Tamandua tetradactyla: one gene and its partners. The protein of the gene in region 2 purifies or fractionates together with the protein of the main gene of each other region. This does not show direct contact. Links are inferred from orthologs where the notes say so. Each region holds a gene or a part of one and is shown on either strand. Other genes may lie near its edges.

What was found.
Region 1: the proteins of AURKB (region 2) and HSP90AB1 purify together in Homo sapiens (affinity purification with mass spectrometry; 6 studies listed by BioGRID and IntAct, counting the BioPlex papers as one, with this or other methods). This does not show direct contact. The link is inferred for Tamandua tetradactyla from reciprocal best matches to the Homo sapiens genes AURKB and HSP90AB1.
Region 3: the proteins of AURKB (region 2) and CDC37 purify together in Homo sapiens (affinity purification with mass spectrometry; 7 studies listed by BioGRID and IntAct, counting the BioPlex papers as one, with this or other methods). This does not show direct contact. The link is inferred for Tamandua tetradactyla from reciprocal best matches to the Homo sapiens genes AURKB and CDC37.
Region 4: the proteins of AURKB (region 2) and SEC16A purify together in Homo sapiens (affinity purification with mass spectrometry; 3 studies listed by BioGRID and IntAct, with this or other methods). This does not show direct contact. The link is inferred for Tamandua tetradactyla from reciprocal best matches to the Homo sapiens genes AURKB and SEC16A.

Annotation. Positions count from the first base shown.
Region 1 is NC_135331.1:101,857,792-101,865,222, forward strand, and holds the start of HSP90AB1 (heat shock protein HSP 90-beta), read left to right. Parts: upstream 1-4,421; 5' UTR 4,422-4,553; intron 4,554-5,235; exon of another isoform or gene 5,236-5,341; intron 5,342-6,053; coding exon 6,054-6,200; intron 6,201-6,552; coding exon 6,553-6,759; intron 6,760-7,045; coding exon 7,046-7,205; intron 7,206-7,322; coding exon 7,323-7,431. UniProt on the Homo sapiens protein: Molecular chaperone that promotes the maturation, structural maintenance and proper regulation of specific target proteins involved for instance in cell cycle control and signal transduction. Undergoes a functional cycle linked to its ATPase activity.
Region 2 is NC_135332.1:62,040,881-62,048,388, reverse strand, and holds the start of AURKB (aurora kinase B), read left to right. Parts: upstream 1-4,491; 5' UTR 4,492-4,604; intron 4,605-4,624; exon of another isoform or gene 4,625-4,786; intron 4,787-4,876; 5' UTR 4,877-4,901; coding exon 4,902-4,949; intron 4,950-7,232; coding exon 7,233-7,356; intron 7,357-7,466; coding exon 7,467-7,508. UniProt on the Homo sapiens protein: Serine/threonine-protein kinase component of the chromosomal passenger complex (CPC), a complex that acts as a key regulator of mitosis.
Region 3 is NC_135337.1:91,390,702-91,398,258, forward strand, and holds the start of CDC37 (hsp90 co-chaperone Cdc37), read left to right. Parts: upstream 1-4,546; 5' UTR 4,547-4,918; coding exon 4,919-5,020; intron 5,021-7,557. UniProt on the Homo sapiens protein: Co-chaperone that binds to numerous kinases and promotes their interaction with the Hsp90 complex, resulting in stabilization and promotion of their activity. Inhibits HSP90AA1 ATPase activity.
Region 4 is NC_135328.1:126,035,453-126,043,019, reverse strand, and holds the start of SEC16A (protein transport protein Sec16A), read left to right. Parts: upstream 1-4,557; 5' UTR 4,558-4,810; intron 4,811-4,872; exon of another isoform or gene 4,873-5,428; intron 5,429-5,674; exon of another isoform or gene 5,675-5,938; intron 5,939-6,323; exon of another isoform or gene 6,324-6,528; intron 6,529-7,567. UniProt on the Homo sapiens protein: Acts as a molecular scaffold that plays a key role in the organization of the endoplasmic reticulum exit sites (ERES), also known as transitional endoplasmic reticulum (tER).

The DNA of each region.
Region 1 (7,431 bases), on a different chromosome or scaffold from region 2:
GAAGCATTCCTTTTTTAATCAGAGGAGCCAGAGATGCCCAGAACCACTGTTTCTGCTCAATAGTGTCCTGCAGGTCCCAGCAGGTGGAGTAAAACAGGAAATGAGATACAAGAATTAGAAAAGGAAAAGACAAGCTGTCATGGTTCTCAGATGATAGGATTGTACCTAGAAAACACCAAAGAACTGACAGACAAATTAAGAATAAAGTATTTACCAAGCCATTGCATTTATGATTAACAAAAATCAATTACTTTTCTACTCTGCAAGAATCTGAATAAAAATGTCCATCCGCTATAGTATAAAAACATATAACATACTAATAAAAAAGGGAGCAAGACTTGTGTGTGAGACTTCTCATGTGCCGGTGGAATGTGGAAACTGAGGCAAAGAGATGGAGCTTCGGATGGCCTTGCCAACCGGCACAATGGTACAACACACCTGCTGTCAAAGCCATCGGCATAAAAGGGTGTCAATTCAGGTATTCCCTGTAGAATTCAGGGATCTAAACCTCCTGGGGCTAGAGAGGCCCCAGGCAGCTTGGACAGTGACAGGATATAGTGGGTGGGTGCCAAGCTTGAGAAGTCACTGGCTCTGGGGATTAAGGGGCGAGAGCTGCCATCTTGATGCCCTGGGTAGTTTCATCCACCCATTTTACCTTATCTCAGGATGCTCCCCTGCAGCTGCGTGACAATTTCCAGTTGAGCAGCAGCAGTAGGCCTCAGCCCAGGCTGAGTCTCCATGCCTCCTGCCAGACTTCACTTGGATTTATCTAGAACAAACTTTTACCTAGTTCTGCAATGTTGTTCCCTACAGGGTGACATAAGCACTCCTTTAGGCTTTGGAGGCCTACAGTCTCTATCAGGACTACTGAGCTTCACTGTTAAAGCATCAAAGCAGTCATAGACAATACGTAAACAAATGAGTGTGGTTGTATGTCAATAAAAGTATTTATGGACTCTGAAATCTGAATTTTCACGGCAAACATATTATTTTGCTGTAGGGTGTGGTAGTTAGGTTCAGATGTCAACTTGGCCAGGTGAACGTGCCTAGTTCTGCTGCTGCGGACATGAGCCAATGGTACCCACATCTGTTACTCATTACATCTGCAGTCGGCTAGGAGGCGTGCCTACTGCAGTGAATGATGTTTGATTTACTTGGTTGGTGCTTAAATGAGAGAGCTCAACGTAGCACAGCCCAAGCAGCTCAGCATACCTCATCTCGGCACTCGCAGCTCAGCTCAGTTCAGGCCTTTGGATATGCAGAAAGAAAGCATCCTGGGGAAAGTTGTTGGAACCCAGAGGCCTGGAGAGAAGGCCAGCAGAGATTACCCTAAGCCTTTCCATGTAAGAAAGAACCTCAGATGAAAGTTAGCTGCCTTTCCTCTGAAGAATTAATGAAATAAACCCCCTTTTATTAAAAGCCAATCCATTTCTGGTGTGTTGCATTCTGTCAGCTAGCAAACTAGAACATAAGGGTACAGGGATAGTTCAGCGGTAGAATTCTTGACTCAGGTTTGATTCCCAGCACATGCACTTCCTAAAACAAACAAGCAAGCAAACAAATAAACAAAAATTCAACAAATGGTGCTGCAATAACAGGATATTCACATGGAAAAAGAATGAAATGTGACCCCGCCATACAGCATACAAATTGAAATACATATACATATATAATTTTGGTTTTTATACAACCATTTTAAAATATAAACACCATTCTTAGCTCATAGGCTGTACAAAAACAAGAAGGCTCACAGCCTGCCAGCCATAGCATGTGGACCCCTGCTGTAGCCGGCCGCCCTCCAACAGCAGAAGACTGATCTAGGCCTCTGAGGCCTGACCAGGAACAGAGGGCATTGGAAGCTGACATCATCCTGGGTCCATTGCACATTGCATAAGGGAATAAGGCTTTCAGAGACCCCAAGTAATTTTAAGGCCCTATAATTCTCTAAATGTCTTTTCTCATCCTTAAACTCATCTCAGCACTCCTTAACCCAGCGTTTGCAGGCCATTGTGACCTGACCCCTGCCTACAGAGCCACTTGTGGCTCCTCCCTCATCACGGTCCCTTTAACAGGACTCTGCCTTTCTATGCTCTATGTCTCCTAGGAGTAGACCTATGCCATGGCATGGCTAGCTATTACTGTTGAACATGTCTCTTTCCCAGACTGAGCTGGGGGACTCTACTGCTCATCCATGCCCCTTCACATATGGCCTGCTGCAGCAACCCCACTGGGCAGGGTGCTCCTTGTCCTCCTATCATTGTTATCTGTGCATTCCCAGGTGAGGCTTACAGTGGTGGCTCAATGACTGTTAAGTAAATGGGGATGACAATTGGAAGCCATCCTGGAATACTCCCTGGAGAAGGTGGAGTTTCTGTGCTGGTGCAAGATTTGAGATATTCCCGTTTGGGGGAAGTCCTGGAGGGGGCTTCCATCCCGACACTGCTGGAAGTAGGAGTGGGTAGGGGGGTGGGTGTCCAGCTCAGGGAATGCCCATCCATGGGGGCAACTCCCGGTTAGTTTTTGACTTGGGTTCCCAGATACAGCATTCTCCACCCCTTTTTGGAGGAGGGAAGAGTTGGTGGAGTAAGGGCTCTGAGCTTCAGTGAAGTCTCTGAAGCCTCTAGTCCCCATACATAGAATGGTGCAGTTACTTTACCTCCTTGAGAGATACTGTGAATGCTGACAACCACGGAGATTTTTAATAAGCAGGGTCCCTCTGCCCAAGGGAGAGATGTGCTGAGGGATGATGCTCTTCATTTTGTATTTTCATCAGGAAAGCAGTGCCCATGCCCCCCCCCCCCCAATAGATCACAGGCTTCTAAGGAAGGGGAGTAGAAGGGCAAGAAGAGATGAAATAACAGTGGCTGCGGCAAGGATTCAAAGGAGGAGGTGGGACAAGATAGAGTTAAGCAGCAGTTTTTCTCATTTTGGAATGCAACAAAGGAACTAGGAACTGGAAGGAAGATGGGACGCCAGGGCTGGGGAGGTAGGAGGATCTTGCAAGTGGTGATGGGGTACACCACCCCCAACATTCCAGGGGTGGACTAAGAAGGCTGGGAAAGGAATTCCGGGCATTTACAGAGAACAGAGCAGGGAAGGGCTGTTCTCACATGGAAGGGCTGTGGGTCCAGCAGGCTCCCCAGAGCTTGCCAGTGGGAAGAGCAGGCAAAGGGGACAACACCAGGCGAGGTATGGCGGTCCGCAGGCTGCTGGGCAGGCGGACAACCTGGGAGCTCCGGGACCGCAGCTGAAGAGCAACAATTTGGTTTAGGCCGCCTGAGTGGGCCAGTGGCCTGCATCTTCTTGCGGCCTCCCAGGAGTCCCCGGAGACCCCACCCTTAAGTCCAGACAACTGCAGAAAGAGGCGAGAAGACTCAAGAAAAAAAAAAGAAAGGAAGAAAGAAACCAGTCTGCAAAACACTCGGACATGCCCGGATAGAGGACGCAGGTTGCTACGCCCCGCGCACGTGGGCGGATGCAGGGGCTGTGGCGGCCGGGAAGGGTCCCTTAGATTGGGAGCGGCTCCGACAGCCTGTGTCGTCTGAGTGCTTGGGGGAGGACAGGTACCAATCACTTCCTTCACGCTCCACCCCACCCACGTGGCAATACAGGGCCCGCTGGGTCCGGGCAATGGAGAAGAGGATCCCGCCTGTAGGGGACCTCCACGCCCCGCCGTGAGGTCCAGCAGAGCAGCCTGCAGAGCGCGACGATCTAGAAAGACACCGCTCCAGCCAGAGCCGGCGGGGTGGAGCCTCGAGGGGAAGGGGTGGGGCCATCGAGAGGAGCCTGGAAACTGCTGGAAGAATCGCAGCACTACTATCGCCGCTCCTTCCGCTGCGCACCGGCAAAGAGTGCCTTGCTTGTGTGAGCCGGCCCCTCCCCCACGGAGCCCCGCCCGCGGCAAGTCGGGTCTTTCCGCTCGTCCGCAGGAGGGCCGGGCAAGGGAAGGCGGTGTGTTCAAAGTTGCATCTCGAGTTCTCGGTCCTCAGAGAAAACCCACTTACCCTGTCGGGATGTGTAAGGCAGATTCTAAGAGAGAGGTCGGGGCTGGGAGTGGCGGTTGAGGTAGTTAGCTGTCTCTGCCTCTGCTGCCCAGCGAATAATTCGCTTTACAAGGAGTATGCCTACCTACAGGTGTGCCCAAAGTTGGTCTGTAGGGGGCGCCCTCCAGATGCACAGTTTAGGCCAATTGAGCATTCCCAATATTTAATCCTGAGGGTGGGTCGGCCCTGGAGCTACAGGAATGGGGCTGTGAACACAAGTAAAAGTGCAACGGATTTGTATTCTGAGACTAAGCACGCGCCCCCTGTCCTATTTTGGCCCATGACGTCAAGGTGGGCGGGCGGCTGCAGGTACGCGGCTGACGGACATCCTCCTTTAAGGCGGAGGGATCCGGGGACAGGCGGCAGTGCTGTGCTTCGCCTTACATAAAGCTGCTGGGGGCGCCCAGCCGCTCTCTTGAGTCACCCCCACGCAGCTTATATCTTGCGTGTGAGTCGGACACCGTCCCTGCCCGCTGTGCTCCCTGGTACTTGCTGCTCGCTCTCTTCAAGGTAAGGTTGGGGTCTCGTACTCCAGGCTTTTCAATCGCAAGCACTTCGAGTTTTCATCGTTTTTGGCATTTTTAAATCTTAGAATTATTTGTGGCAGCCTTGAGGTTTGGCTCCTCGTAATTTCTCTCGGAGTGGCCGAGGTTTCTACAGTTTTCCCTGTCATTTCCCTTGTACTTTGGTGGTGGGGCTTCCCTGGGTGGCGAATAGCCATGGGCTCAGTGGGCCGCGGATTGGGACCAGGGTGGTGGGCACCCAGCCGCACGTGGTGGCCGCGCCGTCCAGGGACGCTGCCATGTTGGTCCCTCCACTTCCGGACGCGACTCCAAGGTGCTGGAGGGGTCGGTAAGAGGTGTGGGTGTGCGTGTTAAGAATGACTCAGCACATCCAGGTGTTGCTACCTGTACTTTAGGACGCACTTGTCCTGAAGGGCTTTGGTCAAAGGGTTCGCGACGGGAAAGAACACTTGCAGATTTTTGAGGTCCGTCGTACTTAGTTTCCTGATTCCAGATCTTTCCTGCGTCTCGCGGCGGAGGCCGGGGGTGGATGTGAATTAAAGAGAGGGATTGGGGCAGACTGGAAGATCCATTGGCTCCCTCTGCTCTTCGAGAGGTGGGATTGTTCTGGAAGCTTCTGGAAGCCGGCGCCCCGCCCCGTTGTCTGGATGCTGGGGCGAAGGGAGGCTGCGCGGCGGCGCCCCCTCCTCGTGTGGCCCGGGCCGGCGCATGTCCGGCAGTGACGAGGGTCGGCCCGGCGAGTTGCGGCCACCATCTTAATTGTGCTTGGCTCAGGTACCTGTGCTTAAAGATCACGGGGCTTTAACCTCGGCTCTTTGTTTCTGATTTGCCTCTCATCAGTCCCCCATGGAGAGTGCTCCATAGTTCCTCAGGGGTTGACTTCCCCGCCTTGTGGGCAGCTGTCCTAGTCCCGGGTGAATCCATATGCTGACGACTCGAGATAATACCTCATGGGAAGCAGTTTCCAATCAACGTCGTTTTAGCTTTAATCTAGTCATACTGTTATTTTTTTTCTGCCACAGAAAGGGTAATAGTGATTTTGGGCGTTTAGGTATCCGTAAAGATTACTTGTGTTTCTTATTAGAGTCTAGAGGGTCTGGGGTGGTACCCTGTTTTGTATTTCTAACAAACCACCAGGTAATGCTGAAGCTGCTAATGTTTGGACCACTTACTGAGGAGCTGGGTTCTTAAAACATGTCTTTAAAGAAATTGTACATCTTGTTAAAGGATGCTTGTTTATTTTTTTTCCTGGATTGGCTACTCATGGTGCTGCTTGGTCTTTATGAAGGGCTTCTCTAGACCCTTGGAAATGGATAGGACTCCGTGCTGAGACGGTTGTATAAGTCAAATTTTGTTTACATAAAATCTTAAACAATTGAAAAGTGAATCTCTAAAGATTGCCTATAATGGGTCCAAGCATGCGCTGTTTTATTTCCAAGGACAACATGAATATGTTCTTTCTAATTCTGGATCATTCTTACTGCAGATGCCGGAGGAAGTGCACCATGGAGAGGAAGAGGTGGAGACTTTTGCCTTCCAGGCAGAAATTGCCCAGCTTATGTCTCTTATCATCAATACCTTCTATTCTAACAAGGAAATTTTCCTTCGGGAGTTGATCTCTAATGCTTCTGATGTGAGTGCTCTGGATTTGGTGTTTTCTTTCCTTTTAGCATCCCAGAAAACGAAGGAAGGCAGTGGTTTAACATTTGGTGGGGGCTACTGTTGAATGGGATACACCAGCAGGTTTTGGAAAAAGGTTTGCCCTGTGGACCGTCTTTAGTTTGAAAGAAAAGGGAGGGCTTAGGGTCTCTAAGGGACTACCTTGGGGGTAGAGTTAGTAAATAATCTGTGGTTTTTAAGCTTCAAGGTAAGTGGCAATCAGAATTGATGGTGTTTTGGGAGTAGAAAACTAAAGGGTTTCCTTTTGGATGAAGAGGAGAGTTTTAAGAACAGAATCTTAAAGTCACTACTCTGATTATTTTTAGGCTTTGGACAAGATTCGTTATGAGAGCCTGACAGACCCCTCCAAGTTGGACAGTGGTAAAGAGTTGAAAATTGACATCATCCCCAACCCCCAGGAACGTACCCTGACTCTCGTGGATACAGGCATTGGCATGACTAAGGCTGATCTCATAAATAATTTGGGAACCATTGCCAAGTCTGGTACCAAAGCATTTATGGAGGCACTGCAGGTATGGGACATTACATCAGGGCGTACACTTTTTTTTTCCTTCATGTGTATGTATTTCTATATTTATACATATGTGTAGAGAGGCAAATATGTATACTATAGGGGGTTTGTTTACAGCATGGTTTTTTGTGCGTGGGCCAGAAATTGAACCCGGGTCTCCTGCATGGCAGGTGAGAACTCTAACACTGAACCTACCCATGCATCCCTCCACCATTACATTTTGAAATGTTTCCTGGCTTCTTTCGTTTTAAACTGGTGTTTGACTTTAAAACATTCTTTTTTGGCAGGCTGGTGCAGACATCTCCATGATTGGGCAATTTGGTGTTGGCTTCTATTCTGCCTACTTGGTGGCAGAGAAAGTGGTTGTGATCACAAAGCACAATGATGATGAACAGTATGCTTGGGAGTCTTCCGCTGGGGGTTCTTTCACTGTTCGTGCTGACCATGGTAAGTTGACTGGGTTAGAATTCTTTGGGGATACCTTCTAGGTAAAGCAGTTTTTTTTTCAGTACATTTCTTCAATTAGTCTCAACTATTTATACCCCACTGTGATTGACTTTCTAGGGGAGCCTATTGGCCGGGGTACCAAAGTGATCTTGCACCTTAAAGAAGACCAGACTGAGTACTTAGAGGAGAGGCGGGTCAAAGAAGTGGTGAAGAAGCACTCACAGTT
Region 2 (7,508 bases):
TTAAGCTGGATTAGGTGACGACATGTCTCCACCCATTTGGGTGGGTCTTGATTGGTTTATTGGAGTCCTATAAAAGAAGAAACATTTTGGAGAATAGGAGATTCAGAGAGAGCAGAGAAGAACGACATAGCCACGAGAAGCAGAGCCCACCAGCCAGCAACCTTTGGAGATGAAGAAGGGAAATGCCTCCTGGGGAGCTGCATGAAATAGGAAGCCAGGAGAAACTAGCAGATGATGCTGTGTTCACCATGTGCCCTTCCAGATGAGAGAGAAACTCTGACTGTGTTCGCCATGTGCCTTCTCACTTGAGAGAGAAACCTGAACTCCATTGGCCTTCTTGAACCAAGGTATCTTTCCCTGGATGCCTTTGATTGGACATTTCTGTAGATTTGTTTTAACTGGAACATTTTCTCGGCCTTGGAATTGTAAACTAGCAACTTATTAAATTCCCCTTATTAAAAGCCATTCCATGGGTGGGCCATGGTGGCTCAGCAGGCAAGAATGCTTACCTGCCATACCAGAGGACCCGTGTTCGATTCCCAGTGTCTGCCCATGTAAAAAAATTTTTAAAAAGCCATTCCGTTTCTGGTATATTGCATTCCGACAGCTAGCAAACTTGAACAACATTGAATGTATATCTTCAATACATGTTGATTATATATACGTGGGCTTGTATTTTCTGTGTTTTCAAAATTTCATTTTCCAATGAGTTCATGTTCATTGTATTTTGTAAAACTTAATCATCTATGATAGATTGAATATAACCAGTCCTTCCCCACAAATACTTTGAGAAGCTCTTGATTTTATACTCAATTCACTAGCTTGGGCAAGCACCAGGAAGATCTAATAGTTTTTGTTTTGTTTTTATGAATAACGCAAAATCTGACACTGTGCTGGTCCATCAGATACCCTCAAAGGCTAAACATCTCCTGGCATAATGTGGAGGCAGAATTTAAAGACCCCAGGCTACAGGCATACTGTCTTGATCTTTCAAGTACATTTCCCCCATGCACTCTGACCTCTGACAGGATCCAGAAAGATGTCCCTTCACTAGGTCACGAGGAATAAAATGTACTTCAAGTGCTAGGATTTTAATAAGATTCTTCTTGGCCAGTCTCTTTATGCCAAGTAGAGGCACTGCAGTTGAAGCAGACTCCCTGATTTTGGGAAGCAGGGCTGGGCTTAACTCTAAGTGAAGACAATGTGCACTCCACAAACAAAACGGCTTTTCATAAATGGAAGCAGTGATTATGATCATCAGATGTCTGGGAGATGGCTCATCATGTGGAGATCTCTGACTTTTTTAATTAGTCAGAATGAAATATAAGGCAACTATGAGAAACCATTTCCACCACTAGCCTCTCACTGCCTGCACTGTGGCTGGTGGAAGGGATACTCACTTTCCCTGCGGCCTCCTTTGCATTAGTTGCGGGACAGAATTCTAGCCAAGGAGAAATCTGCTGGGTACTTCTATGCAGGCTTCAGTTTTCCCTAAGACAAATGGCAGCCTTCTTGCCACCAAAAGGGAAATGAGTATTGCAGAGAGGAGAATCCAGATCTCCAACACTGTTCGGTTCTCGAACCAGTTACCCACCGGGGTGGGTTGAATTGTGTACCCCATTTGGACCAGTTCTTGGTCGTGGTCCACATTTCGGATTCTGGTGGTGTGGACCCCCTATAAATAGGATATCTTGAAGATGTTACTTCCGTTAAGCTGTGGCCTGATTCAGGTTCGACTTTAATCTGGATGACTGGAGCCCTTTATAAGCAGAGTGAAATTCAGACAGAGAGAAGGAAAGCCACAGGAAGAAGCCAGAAGTCAACAAAGCCCAGAGAAGCCAGCCACAAGGAGATGCCACCATGTGCACTGCCACGTGATAGAAAAGCCAAAGAATCCCAAAGATCACTGTCCAGCCAGAAGCTCATAGCCTATAAAACTATGACCCGACAAATTCCTGTTGTTAAGCCAACCCATTGTACGGTATTTGTTTTAGCAGCTGAGAAATTGCCACACCCATTTCCTCTACATTTCATTTTATGTAAAGGAAAATAGGTTCCCATTGTTTATGCCTTTGATAAATGGGTTTTCTGTTACTTGCACCCAAAAGTATTATGAACTGATCCAGAAACCTATAAGGATTTATTTGATTAATATCTGGTTGAATCATATGAAATTTCCATTTTGTGTGTGGATTAAAAAAATAATGACTGGATATCATCAATTTCATCTCATCCAACCTAAACAATTCTACTATAGGTCTGTAGTTGTGTGTAAATTAGTATGCCTTTGACAGCAAAGAATAGAACTCATAGCCCAGAATGCATTACAGAAGGTGACGTATTCGTTCCCATAAGGAAAGTCTTGAAGTAGGCAGGCTGTGCTTGACAATGGCATAAAAGACTCAGGTTCTTCCCAGGCCTTGTTCTGACTTCTGCAGGGTCAAGCGTCAGTCTCTCTCATCCTTCAGGCACAGCACTAGCATCAGTGCAGGCTGTGTACTTCCTAGATCGCGTCCAGCAGGAGAAAAGGAACTTCTACTCAGCATTCTAAGTAAGAATTCTAAGACTAAGATTCCCATTAATTGGCCCATTTAGGTCACATGCTTTTCCCTGAACCAGAGAATTGAAGAAGTTGATTGTCTTAAATCAATCAGGGCCCAATCCACAAAATCCTAGGTGTGTTCAGGCAACGGGAATAGCTGGGAGACTGACTGCTGGCTGGATGGCCACAGTGTCCACTACAATAGCTCTCCATCAGGAAGGGACTTGTCACCAACAGAAACCAACATCTTGCTCACTCCAACAACAAGAGGATAACAGGTAGCTCACAGAATCAAAGGACGAGCTAACAATCACGCCTTGGGAAGCACAGAAACCAGGGCATTCTCAGGGATTTCGGTAACAAAAACCCAGTTTTTTGAGGGCACTGCCCAGACATGACTCAGTTTCAACTGCCTTTCATCTGTGCCTCACCCTGATTAAGAAGTAAACTCCCCACCTGGCAGCATGGGGCAGAAATCCCAGAATGAGCTGAGATTCAGCATCAAGGGATTGAGAAAACCTTCTTGACCAAAAGGGGGAAGAGTGAAATGAGACCAAGTGTCAATGGCTGAGAGATTCCAAACAGAGTCCAGAGGTTATTCTTAGTCTGGAGGTTATTCTTACGCATTAAGTAGATATCAACTTGTTATTCAAGATGTAATGGAGAGGCTGGAGGGAACTGCCTGAAAATGTAGAGCTGTGTTCCAGTAGCCATGTTTCTTGATGATGATTGTATAATGATATAGATTTCACAATGTGACTGTGGGATTGTGAAAACCTTGTGTCTGATGCTCCTTTTATCTACCTTGTCAACAGATGAGAGGAACATATGGGATAAAAATAAATAATAGGGGGAACAAATGTTAAAATAGATTTAGTTTGAAATGCTAGTGATCAATGAAAGGGATCAGTAAGGGGTATGGCCTGTAAATTTTTTTTTTTCTGTTTGTTATATTTTTCTGTGTCTTTTTACTTCTTTTTCTGAATTGATGCTAATGTTCTGGGAAATGATCATGATGATGAATATGCAACTATGTGATGATATTGTGAATTGCTGAGTGTATGTGTTGAGAATGTTTGTGTTTCTTGTAATTTTTTTAATTAATAAAAAATTAAAAAAAAAAAAAAAGAAGTAAACTCTCCAGGCAGAGATTCTGATTGGCTTGAATTGGTCACAGTATCATCTTTCAACCTAGGGGTCTGGACACTATGAGTAACAGTCTCATGGGGACTGCACAGAATGGGGACACCCGGGGGCTCCCTAAAGGGAAATTAGGGTGGTGCTACTAGAATGGGGAAATGATGCTGAACAGGCAATACTTAGAAACGTCCCCTGGTTATTTCAAAGGTGGTCCCAAATTTCTTTATTTAACAAAATAATAGAAGCTTGGAGTCTGAAGGAGCAGAGAATTAGAGAACATGGCAGGAAGGACAAAAAAAGAGTGGGTTCAAATGACGCAGCAGAAGTCAGGGGACCTGCCGAGAAATGTCGACCGGTGGAAAACTCCTGCGAGGGATGTGAGTGAAGGACTTTAAAGAAAAGGATAATAGTGACACAAAAATAAACACTTACGCAAACAACTTAATGGAATTAGAAAGCCCAGAAATAGACCACAAAATATACATAACTTAATATATCAAGGGTGGCATTTAAATTCTGTGAGGGGACTGGGCTGTTGAACAAACGGTGCTGGCACAACTGGCTAGCCATCTGGCAGAAAACAATGCTAGACCCTATCTCATATATACCCAAGAGTAAATTTCAGATACACTACAGGTTTAAATAAAAATTTATATTAAAAAGTATGAGAATACTTGTATGGAGAAGGAAAGGGAAACTTCCCGCGGCCGGAACCCTAGTGTGCCGCGGCTCGCTCCGCCCCTTCCATTGGGCCCCCGCGGCCTACGTCATGGGGCTATCAGCCAATGAGAACTGCGCATGGGCGGTGCCTTTAGCCAATAAGGTCAGGGCGGGAGATTTGAAAGGGCCACTGCGGGGGCGCTGCGGGGCAGCTTCAGTCGTTTGCGGGCGGCGGGGTGAGCAGCTGCGCGGCGGGCTGCAGGTGAGCTGGGCTCTTTCGCGGGCCCTGCGCCGGGACAGGGCAGGTGGTCCGGCAGGTGTGGGGGCCGTTGGACAGAGCCGCGCTCACTTCCTGGAGGCGAGGGGGGCCAGCACCAGGGCCGACGAGTCTAGGCGAGTGCCCGGATGCCCCCAGACTGCGGCCGACTTGCTGACCTGCCCCAGGCAAGCGCTTCCGATCGGAGATCAGACCCCTCCCTCTCTAGCTCCTTCTTTTTCTCCTTCTCATGGTTCTGTTTCCTTCCTCCTGCTCAGCTCTCCGCCCCCTTTCCCTCCAAGGATGACCCAGAAGGAGAACGCCCACCCCTGGCCCTACAGCCGGCAGACGGTAAGGCTCTTTCCTTTCTGTACTTCCAAACTGCAAGGCGAGAGTACCCCCTTAGAGAGTGTCTAATGCGCCCCAGTCCCGACTTTGGGGTTCTGCAGAGGGCGAGCCTTCAAGCATTTTCTTCCCGGATATGATCGATCGCATGGGCGCCCCCGGAATTTTTTATTTTTTATTAATTAAAAAAATAAAACAACAAACAAACGCAAACATTCTTAACTTTTGATCATTCCGTTCTACATATATAATCAATAAATCACAATATTATCACATCATGATCACTTCCTGGAACATTTGCATCTATTCAGAGAAAGAAATAAAAAGAAAACAGAAAAAAATTCATACATACCATAACCCTTACCCCTCCCTTTCATTGATCACTAGCATTTTAATCTAAATTTATTTTAACGTTTGTTCCCCCGATTATTTATTTTTATCCCATATGTTCTACTCTTCTGTTGACAAGGTAGATAAAAGGAGCATCAGACACAAGGTTTTCACGACACACATTCACATTGTGAAAGCTATATCATTACACACTCATCTTCAAGAAACATGACTACTGGAACACAGCTCTACATTTTCAGGCAGTTCCCTCCAGCCTCTCCATTACATCTTGAATAACAAGGTGATGTCTACTCAATGTGGAAGAATAACCTCCAGATAACCTCTTGACTCTGTTTGGAACCTCTCAACCATTGACACTATATTGTCTCATTTTGCTCTTTCCCCTTTTGGTTGAGAAGGTTTTCTCAATCCCTTGATGCTGGGTCTCTGCTCATTCTAGGATTTCTGTCCCATGTTGCCAGGAAGGTCCACACCCCTGGGAATCATGTCTCACGTAGACGGGGGAGGGTGGTGAGTTTGCTTGTTGTGTTGGCTGGAGAGAGAGGCCACATCTGAGCAACAAAAGAGGTTCTCTCGGGGATGACTTTTAGGCCTAATTTTAAGTAGGCTTGACCTATCCTTTGTGAGGTTAAGTTTCATATGAACAAACCCCAAGATTGGGGTGCCCCCGGAATTTGATGGCAGAATTGGGTCTGGTCCTTCACAGCCACATCCTAGGAAAGGCCTCTCAAGTGCTGCCAGCTTGACTCTGACCAGCCAGTGGCCCCCAGCCTGTGAGGACTTCTGCAGAGCTGGGCCTACATGTCACATGCAGGTGACATCTGGGGTTGAGCGTCAAGCCAAAGGCAGACCATGATTCCCTACCCTTGCCCTGAAAAAATATGTTAGGTGAGAACTAAAAATAGACTCTAGAAGGATTTAGATACAGTTACTGTTCAAAAGGGGTCCAGGACAAGTCTAAATTAATACTTTGGAATTTATTTTAATGACCCATGTAAGGAAGGGATCTAAATAGATTTCCCCCCGGATGGTAGTTGTCTCAATATCTTTCATTGAAAAGTCGACTCTGATTTGAAATGTCACCTTTATTATATGTATTAAATTCCCACATACATGTGGATCAATTTCTGGACTCTATTTTGCTCACCTTGCTTAATTAACTATTCTGTACTGATAATCGCCCTTTTGGAACAGGTTTTTAAGGGCACTGGGGCTTCCTTCCTCACTTGGCTGAAGAAAAAGGAAGGTGCCCTGCACAGACTCTGCTTTCTATTGGGGGCTTGGGCATCCTGGGGATTTTTCCTCTGCGTCACCCCCTTATGGATCCCTGAGTGAAGCTGTCATGGAGAAATAATAAGCCACTTCTGAATGAGAAACGATTGTCACTTCCACATCAGTCACTCCCCCCCAAAAGCTGTTTATAGTGCCCTGAGAGGTTGAAAATAGGAAGTGCTCGGTGGGCCACCAAAGAAGTCCTAAACCTTATGGACTGAGTTTTCCAAAGGACTGTTAGAATACCTCTGCTACAATTCCTTGAATTGTGGGTGTCCATTGGCCCAGCCCATTATCACCCCTGGGTTTGGGGGCACTGGGCGGTTGGGGGCTGATGTTATGGGAGGAGCTATAGGGGACAGCCTCATGCCCAAGAACGTGGTTGGAGCCAGAGCCAAAGAAGTATAATATAAGGTGTTGGGCTGAGTCCTTTGTCCCTTGTCTTAGGCCAACAGAGGCTGTTTACTATTCACCCATTTTTATGTGGGGCTGTGAGCAGAGCCTTGGGGCAGAGTAGTGGCACTGTGGTGTCAGTGTACCTCATTGAACTAAGGATGGGTGAGTGGGTGGCTTTGCAGCAAGTAGTACTGAAATGCTGCTTGCCACACATTCCAGCCGGGTCACTGGGACAAAAGCGCCTCAGAATTGTCAACTGTTCCTTCTCAGGCTCAGTCTGTCCTGAACACCCTGCCCCAGAGAGTCCTCCGCAAGGAGCCTGCCACCCCATCTGCTCTTGTCCTCATGAGCCGCTCCAGGGCCGTTCTAGAGCCTTCCAATGCCCAGCCCACAGGTAACCACGACGGGGATGAGGAATGGCCTGAGGGGACCAGAGCCTGTGGGGTGGGGACAGGGAGGACAGCCTGTCAAAGGTGAGCCTCAGTTTACTTGTTCTCTCCTTAGCTGGTCAGAAGATAATGGACAACAGCAGCGGGACACCCAGCT
Region 3 (7,557 bases), on a different chromosome or scaffold from region 2:
CTGCACTTACTAGCTGCATAACCTTGGACAAGTCACTCAACCTTTCTGGCCCTCAGTTTCTTCATCTGTAAGACAGGGATAACATTAGTACTTAGCTAACAGGGGTGTTGTGAGGATGAGGTAAAGCAATGCATGTAAAGTTCTGGGCCCGGAGCCCATCTCATAGGAGGTGGCCACAAAATGGTAGCCCAGTAATAATAATAATATCACTATTGTTATTGAGTCACGTGGAGCTTTAGACAGATGAGAGAGACCAACACATTCAGAGATCTTACCTCCTGCCACCCTCACCCTCTCCCACTCCCTTCCAGCCCCACTGGCTTCCTCACTTTTCCGCAGACTCATCAAGCATGTTCAGACCCCAGGACCTTTGCACTTGCTATTCCTGCTATCAGGAAAACAAGCCTCCGATATCCTGTGCTCCTCCAATCTCCTTGACCCCCTGATTCTGCTTTTGTTTGGTTTGTTTTAGACTTATAAATTCAAACAAAATCATTGACTTATTTTAATTTATTAATGCCCCGTCCTTTGATTAGGGTGCAAGGCAGGGTTGGTGGTCTCTTTCCTTGCTGGGTCTCTAGAGCCTAGGACGATGCTGGCTTGCAGTATGTCCTCACCAAATATTTCATGAAGGAATGAATGAATCTGCCTGACTCCTTTACCTCCTTCAGATCTCTGCTCAAAGTCACCTCCTTCTGGAAGCTTTCCCAGAGATGGACTCCCCCCACACATTCATGCTGTCCCTCTCTACCCGTCACCCAGCTTTACTTCTCTTCTCAGCTCTCTCTCTCATCACTCCTGGTACATCTTACATTGACCTGTTCCTCCACTGCCCAATCCCTCAGGTCCATGAGGGCAGGGGAATTTTCTCTCTTATTCTAGGCTTTGTCCAGAGCCGGCTTCATGGGTGTGCGGCCAGTGAAGTGGTACAGGGTTCCACACTCTTGGAATGACCTGTGCTTTGTTTATCTCCACTATCACCGTCTTGAAAGTCCTCAGAATTCTGAACAAGGGAAACTCCATAGCCCATGGCCGGTGCTCAAAGATTTGTAGATGTGGAAGGAAGGAATGGAAGACAGGGGGGCTTGACAGCCCAAGGGAGAGCAACAGAAACACGCGCCCTAGCTCAGCCCAGACATGCGTGCACTTTTGCAGAGATCACACCAAGCAAAAAGCAAGCCTGCCTTCCCCTCCCCCGGGCAGCAGCCTGGCCAGGGAGGGGGTCCAGATGGCAGAGCAAGTCGCTTTGGACAGCTGGCACCCGGCTCAGGCTGAGAGAGGCTTCTCCCACCTGCTCCTAGCCGGTCAGCACAATCGGCACCCACCCGGCTGGTAGCCTCTGGCCTCACCTGACGCCCCAACCCCTGCCCACTCACCAAGTCCCTCAGAAGAAGTGAGGACAAATATCTCTGTTGGCTTCCTGTCCCTGGGAGCCAGTCCTGCAGAGGGGCAAGAAGTACCGAGGCCTCCATGCCTGGAGCTGAAGCAGGGCTCGGCACATGTCCGTGTACATGAGACTTTGGACACAGCTGTGCAGGTGCCACTGAACCGGCAGAGCTTTCTAGAAGCCTCAGGGTTGCATAGTTGAGACAGACAATACTGTAGGAGTGTATGTGTGTGACAAAGCAACCCTACCTAGGTGGAGTTCTACATGGGCATTTGGTCAGATGTGCCTGCGTGATTGTGACTTTGCCAGGATACGGGTGGGGGTAGGGTGGGGGTGGGGTCATACAGGCAGATGCAGCGACAAGCAGCATTACACAATGGGTAGATTTGGGTTCAAATTTCTGCAGAGCCACTGCTGGGCTATGTGCCCTCATGTTATCTGGGTTCTGGTATTTGTTAGTGTGGCTGTGTTTGTGTGGGTTTGAGTGTGTGTGTGAAGAGTAATTCCTTTCTTCTGAGAGGTCTTCCAGATACCGAAATTGAAGTCCGCTGCCCACCTCCCCAATTTTTCTCTCTTGTTATAAAACCTTCTATTTCCATCACAATCCTAATAACAATTTGTTATTTATTAATTTGTTTGTATATGTTGCCTCTTTTCTGTTTCCTCCACTAAATGTCAGCTCCACAAGGACAGGTGTTTTGTTTTGTTCACTGCTGGCTCCCCAGCACCTGGCATATAGTAGGCTCTCAGTAAATACTTACATACTGAATGAATACAGGGCTGTGTCTCTGTGGAAGTGTGAGGAGGGACAGGCTCTGGCTACCCTCTGCCCCCTTCCTTTCCCAGATGTTTACAATCATGCCTTCAGGTTGTAAACTTTTATGGGAAGGACAACACCCTATTGCCCTGCGGGTGATGCCTTAGGTGACATCTTTCCCCTTTCTCTGGGCTCAGGGACTTAATCATTTCATATGTAAAGTGGGATGGGGTTTGGACTGATTCATGATAACATCGCTTCATGATCTAAAGCCTACGAATTTAGTTTTAGTCTAACACACCCCCCCCTTTAATCTATTCAACATTTATTGGGCGGCTCTGCACTCAGCCCGACCATCCTGCAGCTCAGAGCACAAGGAGGGCAGACAGGACCCAGAAATTCTATTTAAATGTGAGTCCTATATCCCCACCTCCCCACTCCACTTCCCAACTTTCTAGGCCTGACCAAATTTTCCTCTTGGCAGTCTGAGATTGCCCACAGGCTCTTCTCCCTTTACCCACTGATCTCCTTCCTTTAGCAGCCTGCCTGGCTGGTTCTGTTTATTGCCGCAGACCTCCACACCTGTCAGGTGCCCAGTGCCCAGTAGGCACTCAAGAAATAGGTGTGGGATGAGCTGACAATGCCTGATGGGGCACAGGAGGACCTGGCCCTCGCTCAGCTACCTACGGGTCATTTTACCCACTTTGCAGATGAAGGAATTGAGGCTCAGGAAGGGGAAGGGAAATCCCCGTTCCTTGGCTCCCACCGCAGCAGCGGAAGCTGGGGCATTCCCGGCCCCTCCCCCTCCAGGAACAAGAAACACAACGGGGGTGCACTGATGGGGCGGGGGTGGGGGGTGGGGGTGGGGGTGGGACAGAGGGAGAGTGCAAAGCAACTCGGGATGGTTTCTCTCACTCGGCCTCCAGGGCTGAAGATGTTTTGCTGGCAGTCGATTAGGAAATGCTGGGCGTTGATGGGGGAGCTGCCGGCACCCTGCCCCTAGTTCTGGGAGCTGGGGATCCTGGCACCTGGTTCTCTGGGGCGGGGCAGTTCCAAGCTCGGAAGTCAGGGAGAGACCCACTCCTGCCCCCCACCTTCTCTACCTGGGAATCCTCAGCATCCAGGGTCCGACCCGCACATCCCGAGCCTGCAAAGGGTGGACGCGGGGACCCCAGCATTTCTGGAGGCCAGAGGAAGCCCCCCCTCAATGGTCCCAGTCCCTTCCTTCCAGAGCGCAGGACCCCCTCCCCACTGCAACGCGTAGCCGGAAGCTTACCTTAACTGGGGGGCGTTGGGGATGGGGTGTCTCGCCCTCTCCGGCTTAGGGGCAGGAGGGGAAGGGGGCGTCCAGACCCTTTGTTTGCCGGTGTCTGTGTATGTGCGCGCGCGTGTGTGTGTGTGTGTGCGATTATGAGTCCCGCTGTGGTGTGGGTCCGTGCGCGCGCGTGCCTGGGCCGTGACGGCCGCTGCGAGGCTGGACTGGCCCGGCTGGAGGGGGAGGGGGAGGAGAGAGGGACTCCCCCGCCCCCGCGCGCCCACCCGCGGGCTTGAATGGAGGGCGAGGGGAACGCGCGAGAGGGCGCTTTTGTCTGGCTGGTCCCTCCTCCTCCGAGAGCCGGGGAATCACCCCCCATCTGGAGACCTTTTCTTCATTCCCTCCAGGCCCCCGAAAAATCCGCCCCCGGGGAGTCTGCAAAGAGGCGCCCCTGGTCGGGTTGGTGGAGTTTCTCCCCTCTCAAACGCCCCCCTGCCCAGCGCCCCTTAATCTGGGATAAACCTGGCCCTAGGCTGCAACGCGGACTTTTATGCCGGGATCAAAACGTGGGTTGGGTTTATAGAAGTATGCGCTCGGCTTCACCAAGCTCAGAGTAACGGCAGTCCTGGGAGCGCCGGCCCGGGAAGGGGGCCCCCCACGAAAGGGGAGGGGCTGTGAGCGGCCCCAGACTACCATGCCGAGGAAAGCCCCCGACCCGCCCCTTCACGCTTCCCCGCCGCTGGCTAGACATTAGCGACGCTCAGTGGTCGTACGGGGAGACGCCGCGAAGGGCGCGCTGGAGAATTAGGGGGGCCCAGGTGATTCCAGAGAGGGGGTGTGTGCGCCAGAACGTGGGGGCAGAAAAGGGATCTGGTAGATGGAGGCCGTGATCCGAGCCGAGGGAACCCCAAACACCAAGGCAATGCCACATTCCCTCCCACCGCCCACCTCCCCAAGAGCAGGGGCAAATCGTTCTCCCCCACGTAGAGCCTCCCAAGGGTACCCCTCTGGCAGGATAGGTCCCTTAAGATCAGACGCCCTTCCCCAGGTCAGGGATGGCTAACCCTCACAAGGGGTAGGGGCGGGTCTTCTCGCCGAGGCCCCGCCCCTGCAGGGGGCTCCGGATGATGTCACTGAGGCCTGGCCAAAGAGACAGTCCTCGCCCTCAGCCTCACCAACTCCCCCACCTCCCCGTGGCCATCGCAAGGGCCCACCGAGGGGGGCCTGGAGATAAGGGGAGCTCATGCCCATGTGACCCCAGGAGGTGCCCAGGGCAGCCCGGGTGCTCGATGAGGTGTGTTCTACGCGGGGACTCCCGGACTACCGAACACGTGCGCAGGGCCCTTTAAGGGCTGGCTCAGTTGCCAGTGCCGCCTTCGCGGTTACTAGGGATGTGACGTCACCGCGGGCGGGCGCGCGCGCGCCTGGGCGGAAGCGGAAGGGGCGGGGCTGCGCCAGCTAGAGTCTCCAGCGCCGCCGCCGCCGCCGCAGCCGGAGCGGGCTGGGCCGCCCAGGCAAGATGGTGGACTACAGCGTGTGGGACCACATCGAGGTGTCGGACGATGAGGACGAAACCCACCCCAACATCGACACGGCCAGCCTCTTCCGCTGGCGGCATCAGGTAGAGCTCGCGCACTTCCGCGCCTTCCTTCCGCCGGGGCCCCCCCTCCAGGGTCCCTGACCCCTGATTCCGCCCAGGGAGGGACCCCGCCATTGACATCTGGACTCCCACTCCACGGTCTGGACCCTCACTGTCGCCCGGGGTCCCTCGATTCAGCTCCAGGACCCTGAGTTCCTTCCCAATTTACCCCCGCGAGCCGCTGGACCCCCTCGGATTATTGCGTGAGATTTCCTGATAATCCCTAGCACACCTTCCCCAGGGTCTGTACTCCTCAAGACGAGCCTTGGAGATACTCTCAGTCCTGTCTGGGACCTTCTATATTTACACCCAGAGCTCTGCGTCCGAATCTAGACCCTCCATACTTTAATTCTGTCCTGGGATTGCCTCTTGGCATTTTATGATTGAGGATTCCCAACCAGATCCAGAAAGAGAGCCTGCTTACTCCAAAGAGAACAAGGAACTTTGTCCTACCCTGAGATGCCCATTCCTGACTTGGGACCCTGACCCAGGCCTAGTAACTCCTTCACTGTAGTGTAGACCTGTACCCCCACACCCGCTAGGTAGGCCGGCATCCCCAGTCCTGTTTATGATCACGGTTTTGGAACCAGGTTTTCCCCCAGACTCAAAACTTCCAGTTCCCACCCTGATGGAGAGCTAATTCTAGCCACTCTCCTTTAGCCTCATTTACTCTGTAGCCCATTTCTCATTACACCGGGAACCCCACCCCCTTGGCTTCCAGAGTAACTACAACCCAGCTCTTTCCTGCAATAACTTGGCAGTACAGGTCCCTGCTGTTGCCTACCCCCAAGCCGAGCCTGGAAAATCACACCCAAACCCATGCCCACGGACTCCACATTCACTCCCCCTTACTCCAAGCCCCAGCCTGATCTGCCAAATCTCTGACCACCAAATTGGCCCTGCTCTCACCCAGACGCCCTCCTGGCCTGATTCCAAGCTCACTACCTACCCCCCCCTTTTTTTTTTTTTTTTGCCTACCTGCCCACAACGGAACCCTGAAATCCAGACCCCAGAATCCCAAGTCCGGGTGACCCATGTCCTACCACCAGCATGGTGCTTTCGGGCAGCAGGGTAGCCCTTGTAAGATGTAGGGGTCTCATCTGCTCCCCTAGTTAGGAGCAGCACCCACATACCTGCACCAATGTACCTGAGCCTGTTACACTCTCAGCTTGGGGTCCGTATCTCTCAGAACCTTCCAGTAAGGAATTTCCCACTCCTCCCTCCCATGTATGTGCCAGCTCCCAGTCATTTATCCAGAAACTTCTAGAAGGGCACTCCCCATCCTTCTGGGATACTACATTAGCCTCTACATCTGGCCCCCAGGCCACCTTCCAACCTCCCAGTCCTTTACACATCAGTCTCCTGGGTAGTGTGCCCTCTGGGCAGGCCACTGAAGTATGGTAAGAAAGTTCTAGTGCTTCTGTTTTTTACCCTGTGTGGCATTGTAATAGGAAATACTTAAGATCTCCGCAAAGCCCTAAATATTCTTAGGTACACCTATTTCTGTAACATAAAGAGGTTACTCTTTGCTGCTGCTTGGAAAGCCACTTGGTCCTGCCCTGCTGAGTGAGGCCCGCCCTCCTCCCTCCAGACCCTTCTCTCTGGCTCAGAACTGCTTCCTGTGTTGCCATTGAGAGCTACAACCCTTTCCTAAGTCTCCTGGGCCCCGGGGCTTTGGTGGGGAGCTGAGGAGTAGAGGAGCAGCAGGACTCAGTGCCCACAGCAGCTACAGGCAAGCTTGGATTCTAAATCCATTCCAGTCGCTTGCCGACTCACCCTGTAGTGGAGCGAGAGGCAGACCCTCCCTGAGCCCCTGCAAACTGAGTTGATGTGACCCCATCCTCTGTGAGACAGTTGTAAGAATAGAACGAGATTGGGTCCACAGAAGAACTTGGCTTGGGACCTGGTAGAGAGAAAGTGTTCCAGAGAGGGTGGTAAGATTAGTAGAAAGTTTGCCTGGCAGCTTGGTTCTGAGCTCAGGCCCGGCCACCTGGGTTCAGAGCGAGGCTCCTTCTGCACCACTGAAGAGCTGTTTGAACCCTCTGTGCCTTAGTTTCCCCAACTGGGAATATTACTGGTACCCAGGCCATAGGTTTGTGGTGAGGCTTATGTTATTTAAAGTCTAAAATTTTCTTGGGATAATATCTGGCACATAATAAAGACTCTGCGTTTTAGCAGTTAGCCTCATCTTTATTTCGGGAATTCATGCTCACGGTAAAAGAATTCTAGAGCTTCCAGAAGGGACATGGGGGCAAGTGACTCTTCCCAGCCCTATCTGTTAGGTCCTTTCTGCAGCCTTGGTTCCTGCCTGGCCCAGCATGCTCGGGCCTCTCACAGACATGAGCTATAAAGCCCAGGCCGGGCGGACAGCCACCCCTGCCACCTCCTGGAGGTCTTTATTTAACTTTGTCTTCCCTGGCAGCTGCTCGGCAGACTCTGCAGAAAGCTCAGCAATTGCCTAGCTGAGACAGGCCAGGTGGTTGCTTCCTGCTATGGCCCGGGTTTGGCTGGGATGGCAG
Region 4 (7,567 bases), on a different chromosome or scaffold from region 2:
CCCGGGACCACCTTCTCCCCAGGGGCACAGTTGCACCCCAGCCCCGGTGGTGCCTGGGAGGAGATGAGGTTTCAGCGAATGTCTGCCTGAAGGAGGCTTGCTGCAGCTGGGGGACGCTGTTTTTTCAGTCATCTGGGGCTCGGGGCTGGTGTGAAATCAGTGTCTACCTTGTGCTTTCTGCTTGTCTCTCTGCCTTTCTTAACGCCCTGTATGATTAGTACCCGGCTTAGTGACTCAAGGAATCTCTTCCCTTTGACCCTCCTCTGCCAAGCATGCTACAAGATCCTGCAGAGGTGAGGACAGTGCCGTGTTTGTGCTGTGGACAATGTGGACAGTGGCACCAGCCAGCACGGAACCTGGACCAGGCTTGGCGTGGCTTGTGGGGTTTGTCGTGGCCTTCCGGAGGGAACGGCTCCAGGCAGCTTTCAGCAGAGGGGGGCATGATGAGAGTCCACCCATCACCCCCTTTTATGGGAGGGGGTGGTAAATGGGCCTCAGAGAGGCAGAGGGATGTGCCCAGGTGTGCACCTGGTGGTGGCCTTGGGAGGTCTTGGGGAGCTTTGGGGGCTCACAGTACATCTGGACAGGGCAGGATGGCCCAGTAGGACAGGGGTCCTTATGAGAGGAGGAGAGGAGACCTGGGGAGAAGAAGGCCACGTGGGCCGAAGGAGGGACTGGGATGGTGTGGCCCAGCTGAGGGGCGCCCAGGTTGGCCAGCACTTCCAGCAGCCAGAAGGGGCAAGGAAGCAGTCCCCTATACCTCCATTTAGGACTTCTGGACCCCAGACCTGGAGAGAATAAATGTTTGTTGTTTGAAACTGCCCAGGCTGTGGCCCTTTGTTACAGCGGCCTTGGGGAGCTAAGACGCCACCTCCCCTGTGCTCTCTAGCCAGCTGGGCAAAGAGCTCTGAGTTCTGGAGGAGCCCTGCCTCCTCCAGAAGCAGGCCGCCGGGTACTGCGACATGGCGTGACACGTGCAGGCCGAGCAGGGACGTGGCAACCTACGTGCCAAGGCCGTGGGCTCGCGGACCCCATGGTAGCCCTGGGAAAGCCCAGACGGACCACACGGGCACATACAATAGGATGGCAACTCTGGGGTGGGTGTCCTCTGAGCTGGGCGCCCTGCAGGCATGGCCTCATTGCCTGCCGGAGGAAGGCAGAAGTCTGGGGACGAGGCCCATGGCCTGGTACCCCCTACCATGTGGCCAGCCGTGGCCTCCAGTGTGGGGAGGGGCTCAGACGGTGCTGGCAGTAGGACTTTCCAGCCCCGGCCCCATGAGGGGTGCCCCCCTCTGTTCACACCCTGGCTGACATCGACAGGGTGCCCCCCATGCTGTGCGGTCCCCCATGCACAGACACCACCAAACCATCATGCACAGCTATCTCTAGACCTCCTCTCTCCCGAAGGAACTGACTCTCCCCCCTTTCCTCTCCACTAGTTTGTCCTCTATGGCCCAATTGCTGCTTCTTTCAGGAAGCCCTCCCTGCCAGCTCTTTCTACCTCTGAGACCCTGCTCTAGCTTGCTAATTGCTGGAATGCGATATGCCAGAAATAGAATGGTTTTCAAAGGGGGGATTTATTAAATTGAAAGTTTATAGTTCTAAGGACATGAAAATGTCCCAATTAATGCAAGTCTATAAAAGTGTCCAAATTATGGCACCAACAAGAGGTTACCTTCACTCAAGAAAGACCAATGAAATTCAGAGTTTCTCTCGCAACTGGAAAGGCACATGGAGAACACAGTGACATCTGCTAGCTTTCTCTCTAGGCTTCTTGTTTCATGACGCTTCTCTGGGGGCATATTACTTCTTCATCTCCAAATGTCTCTGCCTGCACAGGCTCCCATGGGTCTCATGGGTCTCGTGGCTCTGTTGCCCTCTCCAAAATCTCTTTTAAAGGATTCCAGTAAACTAATCAAGACCCACCTGGAATGGGTGGAGTCACATCTCCCTCTAATCAAAGGTTAATACAATTGGGTAAGCCACAGCTCCATGAGATAATCTAATCAACTTTCCAACCTACAGCACTGAATAGGGATTAAAAGAAAAGGCTGCCTTCACAAGCGGGATCATGATTAAAACATGGCTTTTCTAGGGTACATAATCCTTTCAAACTGGCACAGATCCTAACGTGCTTTTGACCTGGGCACTCAGCCAGTGCAGTCTCACAGAAGCTGCCCCCTCTTTCTCTCTCCCACGGCCCAAGTCTGAAGATCTGCGTCAGGGGCTGAGCACAGCGCCCAGCATGGAGCAGGCTGCCCCACAGGCACCCACAACTCGCTGGCCACTCTTCACGCTGCCGCTGGACACCAGGGAGAGGAGTGAGGCTCTTGGCCCTCTGTTGGAGTGGCTGCCTCCCCTCCAGCGCTCCTCGAAGACCGTGACTGTGTGGCCAGGAAACAGCCAACCCCTCCTGGCAGCCACCAAGCTAGGAGGCCCAATGCCCTGAAGCCCACCCACGTGCTGCTCACACCCTGGAGATATACAGTGAGAGCAGCCACAAGGGCAAATTTTTTTTTTTTTTTTTTTTTTTGTATGCTGTATGGCAGCGGTCACATTTCATTCATTTTCCATGTGAGTATCCCATTATCACAGCACCATTTGTTGAATTTTTTGTTGGTTTCTTTGTTTGTTTGGGAAGTGCATGGGCCGGGAATGGAACAGGTCTCCCGCATGGCAGGCAAGAAGTCTACCACTGAATTGCACTTGTACCCCTGCACACGGGTAATTTTAAAGCTCCTCGTTGTGACATTTTATAAAGTAAAAAGAAACATGATATGAATTATAATAATCTGTTTTACTTAATCCAAATATATACAAAATATCATCATTAATGAGCTCTCTCATCTTCTTTCTTTTTCGTACTGAGTCTTAGAAATCTGGTACGTGTTTTGTGCCGAGAGCCCATCTCAGCTCAGACCAGCCTGTTGAGTGCTCAATGGCCGTCATGCCGCACAAAGCGAGCTTGTGGAGCAAGCTGGCTAAGCTGCCGTGCTGAGCTCACCAGATGACAAAGCTCCACAGTGATGGTGAAGGACAGCTGGAAGTCTGGCCTGGGTCCGTTTACAAGGCCCTGCCCACTGCCCAGGCACCTATGCCCATCAGAAGCCTGGAGTCCTGTGGGTTTTGGAAATATGTCTGCAGGAGAGACGACAGAGCCAGGGACCAAAGGTGCTACTTTGCGGTGATTCTGGCATAAGTCTCCCTGGGAAGTTGCAGGGAAATGGTGACATTTGAGCCCAGCCTTCAAGGACAAACTGTGGAGTCTGGAGAAAGGAGAGAGGAGAGACTATTCCAAGCAAAGCGAAGGAAATTGAATCAGGAAGAGCGGTGGCCCCCAAGGATGGGCACCTTCAAGGCATGGGCCCCTGAACTTTCTGCACTCAGCACCATCCTGAGTCCCAGGCCACCCCCAGTAGCCCCAGCAGCTGTGTCCCCAAACTGCCCAGGTGCTCACCCTGCTTGATAAAGGACCCACAGCACCTCCATGCTGGGCTTTAAATGAAGGGTCTGTGCTCTCAAGCCTGGAGCTGCACACAGGATCCGGGAACCCTCTGCTCTACACCAGGGTACAAACTGCAGAGAGCAGTGGGTCAGAGGGCTTCGGACAAGGGAGGTGGGGCAGTGAAGAGAGAGCAGCTGGCAGGCAGCTTTCCAGAAAGTCACTCAGTAGGATCCAGCACAATGCTGGGTTCATAACACCCCTGCCCCAGGGGTGGGCCTGGGGACTCAAAGGTCTGGCTTTGCCCAGGGGAGGGGTGGGTTCCTATAGCGAGAGTCCCATGCCAGGGTTGGATGACTGAGGCTTCTGCTTTCAGGCTTACTACCAATGTGAGAGCCAAGGAGAGAGCCCTGGGGCTGAGCGCGTATTGGCGCTCACGGCTGCTTTCCCCTTTTTCAGTGTGGAGAGAATCCAAGCCCACCCAGGCAAGAACAAAGGCTGTTTATCCAGAGCTTGCTATAGCAAGGAGTAGCCCACCATCACTCAAAGGCAGGCAGGGGAGTGGTGAAGCTTTACAGTGGATAAGAGTGTGCTCTGGTGGGAGCTGGGGGTGGGTGATGGGAAGGGGGACATCCCATGAGTTGGGTTAGGAGAGCAGATTTGGCTTTCTCAAGTGGATCTGAAGTTGGAAAAACGAGGGAAGCTGTCAGTTATCCATCAAGTCCTGGTTATTTGGGGGTCAAATATCACAGAGACGGGGGTTTGGCTTCCCAGGATGTTTACTATAGACAGGGCAGCCCCTGTATCGCTGGCTGCAGGTTATTGGCCGAGGTTTGCAGGCCACTCACTGTCCACTTGTATGCCCAGCCGCTCCCTAGGGTTAATAACAACTCCTCTCCCCAAAGAGGTGCCCCAGGGAAGGAAGCCATTCAAGTGGGGCAGCAGTGGAGCCGCTGTCCTCTCGCCTCTCTTCGTGGGGCCAGGGCTGAGTCCTCCCATGAGTTCCCTAACTCTGTGTTGAAACAGGCTAGGACCTGATTCCCGAAAGGCAAATGTTAGCTTAGTGGAGTGGCCTGTGGTGCCACGTCAGACAGGCTGACGCCCTCCCCCAGCCGCCTGGGGCCCTGACAGCGTGGCGGCTCCCTGGCCAGCTTCCACTCACTCCTTCCTGCAGTTTCATGGACCCTGGTTACACGGGTCCCTGGGGCACACCAGCGACCGGGGCGCCTTCTCCATACCCCGACCCCACCATCAGGGGGGCCAAAGGGAGGATGGCTGCAGGGTGAAGCAGTTGGGTGAATAAGCTTCCTACCCTCTGTTGAAGGACCGGGGTGCCAGCTGGGCCAGCCTCACAGGGCAGGAGGGCAGGTGAGTGGGCTGGGCTAGGCTGGTCTCTTCTGGACCACCGCGCCTTCGTTTTCTCATCTGGAAAATGAGGCTACAAATTGCAGTTCCCATCTCTTCATCAAGTTATGGCATGGGAGGCTGAGCTGGTGCCTGGCCTGGGGACCTGCTTGGCTCTGGTTCCTTGGGGGTCGCCAGGACCCCTAGTGCCCATTCAACACAGTCAACAACAGGGCGGAGATAAGGAGGGAAGTGGATTCCTCCCTGTTCTCCGTCCATGGGGTACAAGTGATTACGGCGGCACCCTCGTTTAGGGAACACAACTGAGGACGATCTGAGGCCCGCTGGGGGCGCAGACGGGCCGCTCGTCGCTGGGAGAAGCGTCAAGGCCTTTGAAAGGCCTTGGGAGGTGGCCAGCGGAGGAGGCGGGAGCGAGGGGAAGGACTGGGAAGATCTTCCCGGTGTAAAGCACAAGGAAAGCAGAGAGTGTGGTGGTCCCGCTCTCCAGCACCTGGGAAGACCGCAGGAGAGGGCTTGGGGGTGACCGAGGAAGGAGGCCGGATTTCTCTGCGGGTGCTGACCGGCTGGGGCGCCCGGGGCTTCGTTTGGCACCTGCTGAATACGGGAAGCCTGCGGGCGTCGGTAAGTTGTGGGGAACGCCCTGCTTCCTTCTAGGCTTTGAGGGACAAAGGAAGCGCCGTGCGAGAACGCGTTTAGTAAGTCGCAAGACGCTTCACAAAAGTTAGTTACAAACCAACTTCCGAGGGAGAAACAGGAACTGGAAACCCGGAACGGCTGTAACCAGGTAACCAACGCGCTCCCACTAGCGCCATGCGCGTGCGCATGCGCAGCCGGGCTCCGCCTTCGTCTCCGCAGCGCGACGGCCTTGGCGCATGCGCGTTTCCTTCCCGACGGTCCAAGCGTTCGGTTCTAACGGAAGACTCCTAAGAACGCGCCTGCGTCATGGGTCCTGCTAAGGTTCGCGGCTTGGCTGGGAGGAGCCGTTCTTGGTGAACCTACTGGCATCAGTCGTTCCAGGCTGACTCGTCCTTTGAGGTCTCTTTTTTTAACCTTAACCCGAGGAAAGGTTACGCGAAGCTTTCGTAGCCAGGGCGACGTCCCCGGCGGCCCCAGCCCGGCCCGCGCGGACAGGTGAGCGAGGGGCGGAGCGACATGGCAGAGGGGCGGGGAGAAGGGCGGCCCAGTGAGGGACGAGTCCAAGGCGAGGGGTGGGCGGCCGTCGCCCGGGGGCGGGGCGGGGCGGGGCGTGGCAAAGTGAGGGGCGTGGTTCCGTGTTGCGGGGCGGGGGCGGGGCGAAGGTGAGGGGCGTGGCGACATGACGGGAAGCGGGGCGGTGAGAGACAGGCCGAGGTGAGGGACAGGGAGGCAGCTGATGGTGGCGAGGAGGGGGCGGGGCGAGGGAGAGGCGTGTAGTGACCCGACGGCGGGAACGGGGAGGGGCGTGGTGGTAGACGGCGTGGGCGGGGCGAAGGAGGGCGGAAGAGGGGCGATAAGGGGCGGGGCGAGGGCGGGGTGCGTGGTGACGCGATGCCGGACACGTCGGCGACGCGGCGGCTGGGGCTCCCGGAGCCGGATGTGCCAAGATGGCTGCTGTGGGTACCGTGTCAGTTCTGGTGTCGTGTCTGCGCTGAGGGGGCTTTCCCCTGCGGCTCCTGAGGGGCCGGCCTTGGGGTTGCTGTGTGGCTGGCGGGACGCCAACCTCGGCTGTCTGCGCCGAACGGGTGAGGCACCGAGCGCGGGCCTCGGGGCTTGGGGGTCCCGCGGGCCAGAGCGAGGGTGCGGAGCTGTCGGGTCGGACGGAGGGGATGCGGCCAGGTGGACCGGGTCCGGAGTGGGCGGCAGCTGGGAGGGTCGGACCGGGATGACGGGATTCCGCGGGCCCAGGGGCTGCCGCAGCAAAATCGGGTCGGGGGCGAGGCCGTGCCCGGCACGGGTCTCTTCCTGGGGACCCGGTCCAGGCTCTGAACAGCCCGCCGGGTCAGATGCCTAGCGCAGGTGACGGTGTGGCCCGGCTTGTCGCCCTCTGCACTTTGTTGACTCGCCTCCCGAGCGAGCTGTAGGGCAGGGCTTACAGAGTCTCCGTCACAGATTGACGTGGACCTGAAATACACTATCGAGTCCTTGGCTAATGCTTGTCGGGCTTAGCTTGTCGTGGCTTCGTTGTCTTAGTGACGATGGCCTTTGTGTGGCTTGTGTTATTGATGAAAAATAAGCCAAAGAGCCCATTAAAAACCTGCAACGTTTAAAAAAATAGGGACACAAGAAAAATTTTTTAATAGTGTGTCCTTTGCTCTAAAAAGGATCTGGAGATGTTTTGCCCTCATGGGTTGAAGGATTCTTACTTAGCAATGCTGGTGCTGAGGTGTGTACATTTGACCCAAGAAGAAACATTGTTGCTGTTTATTTTTTCTTGACAGAGTGATCAAGATGCTGCAGGAGAGGTACATGCCCATGCCTCATTGGAGGGGGAAAGTGGAATGTATAAATCAAACATCGAAACCATTTTAATATGTATTTGCTGCTTCATTAAACACTTCAAATGGCTTTTAGATTGGGCATGGTTTGCTTATCATGATTTCGTTTCCAACATGTATGGTGCAGGTGTTAGCCAGAGAGGTGGTTCAGAGACCCCTCCCACCAGTGTGATGCCAAGAAGCAAGAAATCCCAGACAGTTGTTCCTAGATTGGTACTTTTGCAAATTCATGCAGCTTTTCTGCGGTGTATTTCTTTCTTTTTAACTATGTCCTTTCTTAGAATTC